2 linked regions of the Saccharomyces cerevisiae S288C genome follow. The protein of the gene in region 1 interacts with the protein of each later gene in a biochemical or structural test. Each region holds a gene or a part of one and is shown in the gene's direction. Other genes may lie near its edges.

Region 1 (4,213 bases):
CCGCGGCAGAGTTAATACATTATTCTTATGAGACTGATTTGACGAGCTTCTACCAAAATGGTCCCGGATACAAATTGATTAAATCTATAGGTGCTAATTTGTTCAATGCAACAGTGAAGCTAATACGACAAAGTGCGCACTTGGACCAAAAAGTTTGGCTGAGCTTTACGCACGATACTGATATTCTAAATTATTTGACAACTGCTGGATTGATTGATGACACTAGAAATTTAACAACCAATCATGTTCCCTTTCGTGATCATTCCTACCACAGGTCGTGGTACATTCCTCAGGGAGCTAGAGTCTACACAGAAAAGTTTCAATGCTCAAACGATTCGTACGTCCGTTATGTGGTCAACGATGCTGTGGTTCCTATAGAGAGTTGCTCCAGTGGTCCAGGTTTTTCATGTGAAGAGGGCACATTTTACGAGTATGCCAAAGACAGATTACGAGGTGTGAGCTTCTATGAAGATTGCGACGTCTCCAAAGTTAGCAAAGAAAAGGAATTGACGTTTTACTGGGATTGGAACACAACAAGGTATAACGCATCCTTAGTGAATCAATAAGCCATGCATGGGCAGAAATAAAAAAAAATAGGAAATTGTCTTTACATAACATGGTCACAAAGTAATATTCCGCATCGTTCTTCCTTCAGCAAACCGAAGGGGAGCGAATTGAGCCTTCAAGCTACATCTAAAAGAGATTCCACTAACAAGTTCTGCGGTTATTACATATTTTTGTACTACAGAGAATTTAATTGCACCCGCTTTATCACCCTCGTTATTTATATTCTTTTCTGGAATATTTAGATATGCGTCATTTGATTATTGTTGTTTTTTTTTTTTGTTTTTTTACTTTCATTACATCGCTAAATATAATATAAAAGAGATGAACGGCTATTCTTTCTGAATATCGAAAGTTAAAACTCGGATAGAAAATTCACAAGAACATAAAAGAAAACTTCCGGATTTCAAAGGCGGTTCTGGTATTGGGAAACTTCCACAACATATCTCAAATTCAAACTGAAAAGTCCTCAGTGTCTTTTATTCGAAACTCCGGGAAAGCACTGCTTGAATGGATTAAGTAAACTTGAAATAAATTTTTTACTTCTACAGCTAAAATGTGAAATATAGTGTCCGCTTCCACCAAAGGCGTTTATTTTCTCGAAATGAACCTGTGAATAACACAGCTGGCTCCAACTCAAACACTCAACTGCGTCATTTCTTATTCGCTTTCCAAATCATGCATGATTTTTCTTTCTCTTGCCTGCAGTGCTCGTTTCACCGCTCGCGTACTCGTCCATTCTTTGTCAGCGAAGAGGCTCTAACAGTGGAGAGCACATCTGGCAAGTAAAATGATAGGTTGCGCAAGGGGGTAGGGGAATGACTAATAAAGCATTACTACCATCATACCAAGTTCCCATTCATGTACACATAGTCTCTTTAATTGCCTTCTTGAATGGAGGCCAGTAGATATTTGGAGAAGCTTTTCTTGCAGTTCGGGTAATATCGAACGGCGTACATCTATAAGGGGAAAAGCTACTTCCGCTTCTCATATATCTATTTTGCAGTGTGACTCTTCCTGGCTTGCTAAGTATTGTACCTGTTATGGGGCAAGCAAGATTTCTCATTGAAAAAAGATATAATACTTATTTGCAGCCAATAGTGACGGATTCTAGTGTTCTTCTTTTCCATAAGTTGATTACGCTATTCACCCAAACTGACTCTTTAGTGCGCTAATAAGCTGAGAGGATTTGAGAGGGAAAAAAAGAGAGAAGGACAGAAAAGAGCAGCCTGAAATTCATAGCATAATGGTTAAGGAAACTCCATTACACTCATCTTCATCAACTTCGCTGTCTTCATTATTTAGGCCAACTAAGTTGAAGAATTTATCGGCTAAAATATTCAATGGAGGTGGTAACCAATCATACTCAAAGACAGATGATGTTTCAAGGTCTTCTTCTAGATCTTCAAAAAAGAATACAGATTCTGACCAAGAGGATCAAATAAAGTATAACAAACCCAACGACCGAAGATCTACCATAGGAAAGAGCCCCCAGGGAAATGGCGCGTTGTCAAAGGAGTCACACGTAGTAGCAAGTTCTACTTTGACAGGTATTTCTCCTACTTCAGCTAAAAAAGCTCCTATTGACTACTCTCCTTCACGGCCCTTACCTAACAATCATAATCCCGTTCGTACGGGACACACTGTGCCCCACTTACCCCATAGTATTCACAATCCAATAAACTACATTCATCAAGGCTCAAAAGATGCTTTCCACCATCCTCACCCCGTTCGCTCTACAGCTCATAGCAACATTTCTACAGTGTCTTCTGCAAAATCTGATACACCCTCTTCGAATTTATCATACCAGGCACATATGCATCCCGTAGAGATACTACAGAAACAGATTGAAGACAAACACTTCATGGACTCTCAAGCCTCCACCCCTGGGTCCGTGGAACTACAGCATAATTCTTCAAGCGGTAGTGATGATACCTCATCAAGAAAGAAAAAATCCTTGAGATTAACAAGATTTTTCAAAAAAATTCATAATGATTATCACGATAACCATCATCATCACCACCATCACAACCGTGGATCCACCCCTACAAAACCGAAGCTCAATTTGAACACCAATGAAAATATAGTAGAAAGTAACGGAAAAGCGTTATACGAAACAGATAACCCAGTGGAGCTATTAGAAAAATATGGTATTCCTGGTAGAAAATTAGGCGAAGGAGCTTCCGGTTCAGTGTCCGTAGTAGAAAGAACAGACGGCAAGTTATTTGCTTGCAAAATGTTCAGAAAACCACACTTAAACAATGAAGGAACTAATCAGTCTCAATTAGCTAATTATTCTAAGAAGGTTACCACTGAATTTTGTATTGGTTCCACGCTGCACCACGAAAATATCGTTGAAACCCTAGATATGTTGACTGAAGGTGACACCTATTTATTAGTAATGGAGTATGCGCCATATGATTTTTTTAATCTCGTCATGAGTAACCTAATGACACAAGATGAAGTCAACTGTTACTTCAAGCAGCTGTGCCACGGCGTTAATTACCTGCACTCTATGGGCTTAGCTCATAGGGATTTAAAATTGGACAATTGTGTCGTCACTAAAGATGGCATCTTGAAACTGATTGACTTTGGGAGCGCTGTAGTGTTCCAATACCCTTACGAAGATACCATTGTAAAATCACATGGAATCGTGGGTTCTGACCCTTATTTGGCTCCTGAGTTATTGAAACAAACATCCTACGATCCAAGAGTAGCAGATGTGTGGTCTATCGCTATTATATTTTACTGTATGGTCCTTAAAAGATTTCCTTGGAAGGCTCCAAAAAAGAGCTTCAACTCATTTAGGTTATTTACTGAGGAACCTGAGGACGAAGATGATATAGTTCGGGGGCCAAATAAAATATTAAGGCTACTGCCAAGACATTCACGGACAATAATAGGCAGAATGTTGGCTTTAGAACCAAAGCAAAGAGTTTTAATGAATGACGTGGTAAAGGATGATTGGCTTGTATCCGTCCCCTCCTGTGAAGTTGACCCTACATCTGGCGATTTGGTTGAAAAACCAAAGAATCATAAGCATCACTTGGTCACTGAGGAGGAGTTGAATGAGCTGACCAAGCAACACGGGAATAAAGATTCAAATTAATGAAATAAACACTTTTTAAAAGATAAAACCTAAAAAATTGTATATAGAAGATTCAAAGTACTATAAAAGGCATTATATAGGAATAAAAGATGGTGTGCATACAGGTGAAAAAGAAAACTAGTTAAATCTGGAAAAAAAAAACGCTCATATATATACAAAAACATAAATACATTCGTCAAAACAAAAAGCGCTTAAATAAATAAAAGCATTTTTTAGATAATCTCAACGGGCGCCAAATTGAAGTCACCCGACGCATAAAATTGTGAACACGCCCTATTAGATTTTACAAAGAGGAAGTCTCCTCCCCTATAAACTGCAAAGAATAATTGAAAAGTGATTTAGCGCAGATAAATAAGACCACCATAACCACATATGAGTAGGAAAAAATGTTCAAAGTTCCAGTGGGATTAGCCAGTAGGACAAGGGAGCTTATGAACAGCGTTACGCTCAATAGTCTCAATAATGGAAAGGGTTTCAATATGTACTTGCCAGGAATATTAAGGGCTTTTCCTAAACCAGTGCCTTCGGCGATTACATCTC
Region 2 (4,113 bases), on another chromosome or scaffold:
CACATCATAGAGGTGATAATGTTTTGGGTGATGCCTCTTTAGGCGATTCGTTTAATTCAATGCCAGATTTTACTCCAAGAAATTTCTTGATACCTACATTAAAAAAATCACGGGAAAAGTTCGAGCCTCATCTATCCAATTCAAACCAACATTTTGGAAATGTAACCTTCTAATAATTTGTCATTTGACTGACGAATCGTTAGGCACAGTTATATAGTTATATACACATAGACATACATATGTTCGCATATATATTATATTACTATGCATTCACCTAAATAGCTACTGCTCTATTAATACAGTGCTTTTTCGATGGCTTTAATTTAACTTATTAGACATTACTTTGCGTTTATTCCCCTCCAATATATTTTTATGTTTGTTTTTCTTGAACATTTTATGATTTCTTGCTCTTGGCGGCTACTGATTTTGTTAAGCAACTCATCAAGAGGTCAAAAAAAGTAGAACGAGATCTTTGTGTTCGGTTACCCGGCTCAGATCCTAACTTGGTATGTTTATTCGTATAAGTTACTGTTGTCCACAGGCAATACTCTGCAGAAAATTAAAACGGCATTAATGCTAGGACAACCAGAACTGTTACTACTGTATGTGCGATAGTTGATAACTGCAACATTATGCCCGGTATATTCTCAAAAAACCCTATTACTGCATACGAAGAAATCGCAAGAGAAATCTTTCGGTTTGGAAAAGCTCACTGTGAGGTTCCTTGGAGCCAATAGTAATACAGCACAATCCAAGGAAAAATCTGGCCTATATGCAAGGAAGGAGAGATAGTCAAAAGCATTCTTTCCCCTAGAAGTTGGTGCATATATGGCATCGTTAAAACATATTACCCCCAAAATTTCTTCTCTAAACGATGTGCTTGGCCTTTGTTTTGGTTTTTGATGTCGGTCGTTTGAGGCCCCTTGCGGAAAATCGAGATCGCCGAATGGCACGCGAGGGAAGGGAAATAAGGTTTAAAGGCACTGAAACAATAGGCAAGAAGTAGGCGAGAGCCGACATACGAGACTAATGTGTCCGCGTTTCTAAGGCCACTTTTCAATGAAACGGATATTGATATGCTAGTAAAAGGACGAGCTCAAGAGCGAAAATATAAGTAAAGAATTCGAGTGCACTTGTCTCCATGCAGCAAGATTTCATATGAGTCTTTTTTATCTTTTTACTTTTTACATTACACGATATGCACTTTATGAAAATTTAACGAGGTTGGAAGCCGGATAATCAACCAAAATCAGGCACGAAGGCACACTCGTATATGCATGTTGTTGAAACTCTGTTACGCTGAACTAACAATCACACATGTAGAGGTCACCGGGAAAAGTTGCGACCCCATGGAAGGTCGATCTCTTCGTTTGGCTTTGCTTGGCTGGCGGCATTGCGCTTCTTCGCTTATACCCGTCTCTTGACGCTCGAGCTCGTTCATTGAGATACCTTTATTCTTGCACATTTTCTGGCTTTTTTCGCTACTCGGGTACATGTAATCATGCACACAGAAGGTGCTGTAGGGTGAAAGTTCCTTTGTGCTGTCGTTTGTTTTTAATGCCAAACTTTCTGGTGATCAATAACCACCTCTTTTTCCTTCAGGAAACCTTATTATTGTTCTTGGATAGTACTAGGAAGTATATAAGGAACCTCGATTTTGGTATTGCACGGCTATACACATCTAAGAAACTTTGTATAAAAGGTGGCTACCCTATTCATAGCTTGATATCAATAGGCCATCTCATCACTTTTTATTGAAAAGGAAAGGAGGGAAATATATCTGATTCAAATTACTTGTTTGCTTCTCTTTAAGACAAAAGCATAGATAATTTCAGCGTGGAACGCCGGAATAAGATTGGTACCCTCGTCAGAAAGTTACAAATACCGCTTCATCTTCAAAATGACTTCACCGGAATCACTATCTTCTCGTCATATCAGGCAAGGAAGGACATACACAACCACAGACAAGGTCATATCGCGGTCGTCGTCGTACTCATCTAATAGTTCAATGTCTAAAGATTACGGCGATCACACACCCTTGTCCGTCAGCAGTGCAGCTTCAGAGACATTACCCTCACCTCAGTATATGCCGATAAGGACATTCAATACAATGCCTACAGCTGGCCCAACGCCTTTACATTTATTTCAAAATGACAGGGGCATTTTCAACCATCATTCTTCATCAGGCTCATCAAAAACGGCATCAACAAATAAAAGAGGAATAGCAGCAGCAGTAGCATTGGCAACTGCTGCCACCATACCATTTCCACTGAAAAAACAGAATCAAGATGATAATTCCAAGGTCTCGGTAACACACAATGAATCATCGAAAGAAAATAAAATTACACCCTCCATGAGAGCAGAAGATAACAAACCTAAAAATGGTTGCATCTGCGGTTCAAGTGACTCCAAGGATGAGTTGTTTATACAGTGTAACAAATGTAAAACGTGGCAGCACAAGTTATGTTATGCTTTCAAAAAATCAGATCCAATAAAAAGAGATTTTGTTTGCAAAAGATGTGACAGTGATACGAAAGTGCAGGTTAATCAAGTAAAACCAATGATATTCCCTAGAAAAATGGGAGATGAGCGATTATTTCAATTTTCATCCATAGTGACAACTTCAGCATCGAACACAAATCAGCATCAACAGTCTGTGAATAACATAGAGGAACAGCCCAAGAAACGTCAACTTCATTATACCGCCCCAACAACTGAAAATAGCAATAGTATACGGAAAAAATTGAGGCAAGAAAAACTGGTAGTATCAAGCCACTTTCTGAAGCCACTACTGAATGAGGTAAGTTCTTCCAATGACACGGAATTCAAAGCAATAACAATATCAGAGTATAAGGACAAATATGTTAAGATGTTTATTGATAACCATTATGATGACGATTGGGTTGTTTGTTCTAACTGGGAAAGCTCAAGGTCAGCTGACATCGAGGTAAGAAAATCATCAAATGAAAGAGATTTTGGAGTCTTCGCTGCAGATTCTTGTGTTAAAGGTGAGCTAATTCAAGAATATTTGGGCAAAATTGATTTTCAAAAAAATTATCAGACAGATCCAAATAATGACTATCGTTTGATGGGAACGACAAAACCTAAAGTACTTTTTCATCCACATTGGCCTTTATATATAGACTCTCGAGAAACAGGCGGATTAACAAGATACATAAGACGGAGTTGTGAGCCCAATGTGGAACTAGTAACGGTAAGACCGCTTGACGAAAAACCAAGAGGAGATAATGATTGTAGAGTTAAATTTGTTTTAAGGGCTATAAGAGATATTCGTAAGGGAGAAGAGATAAGCGTAGAATGGCAATGGGATTTGAGAAATCCTATTTGGGAGATAATAAATGCATCTAAAGATTTGGATTCCCTACCGGATCCCGACAAGTTCTGGTTGATGGGGTCAATAAAGACTATTTTAACAAATTGTGATTGTGCATGTGGGTACTTGGGCCATAATTGTCCAATAACTAAAATCAAAAACTTTTCTGAAGAATTCATGAGGAATACGAAGGAATCCCTATCTAATAAATCTTACTTTAATACAATAATGCACAACTGTAAGCCATAAACGAAATTTTAAAATTAATAGTATTCATTTTAATCTTTTTTGAAAGCTTAATTTTATCATCATAATTTTTCTTCCAAAACTTCAATCTTGGTATTTTTTTTCGCATTGGTCTTCATTTTTTTTCTTTTGTTTTTAGCTTTAATGTTGAAAGCGTGAATATCAAAACACTTTTATAATAAATCACCACTTTGTAACTATAGAGAACAATTCATGCTTTATTTATAGATGCCACGATTAAGCATCAATCATTAGTTGAGAGGATCCTTAACGTTAAAATCCACCGCACTTTTCCTTTCAAAAAGCTGCATTGTTTCCATAATTCATTTCATGGCAGGTTAATGACTTATTTGATATGAAGAGTGAGGTTCTTATCAAATGAAATTCCTACATATGAATTTTTTAAAAGAGAGTTTTTCGTTTTACGATATTTATTTACTTCATCATCGTTTATCATTTTTCACGTAGCAAATTTTGAAGCTTCAACTTATAACTCATTTGCATCCGATTCACATATTTCAGCTGACTATAAA

What was found. The genes of interacting proteins can lie anywhere in the genome.
Region 2: the proteins of RTK1 (region 1) and SET4 form a complex in vitro, tested with the Saccharomyces cerevisiae proteins (one large-scale study listed by BioGRID).

Annotation. Positions count from the first base shown.
Region 1 is NC_001136.10:404,804-409,016, reverse strand, and holds RTK1 (putative serine/threonine protein kinase RTK1), read left to right. Parts: upstream 1-1,810; coding exon 1,811-3,673; downstream 3,674-4,213. Other genes in the region: putative acid phosphatase DIA3, read left to right, coding at 1-566; MRX9 (Mrx9p), read left to right, coding at 4,060-4,213. UniProt on the Saccharomyces cerevisiae protein: Probable serine/threonine-protein kinase that may be involved in ribosome biogenesis.
Region 2 is NC_001142.9:223,155-227,267, forward strand, and holds SET4 (Set4p), read left to right. Parts: upstream 1-1,900; coding exon 1,901-3,583; downstream 3,584-4,113. Other genes in the region: protein kinase IME2, read left to right, coding at 1-173. UniProt on the Saccharomyces cerevisiae protein: Putative chromatin regulator.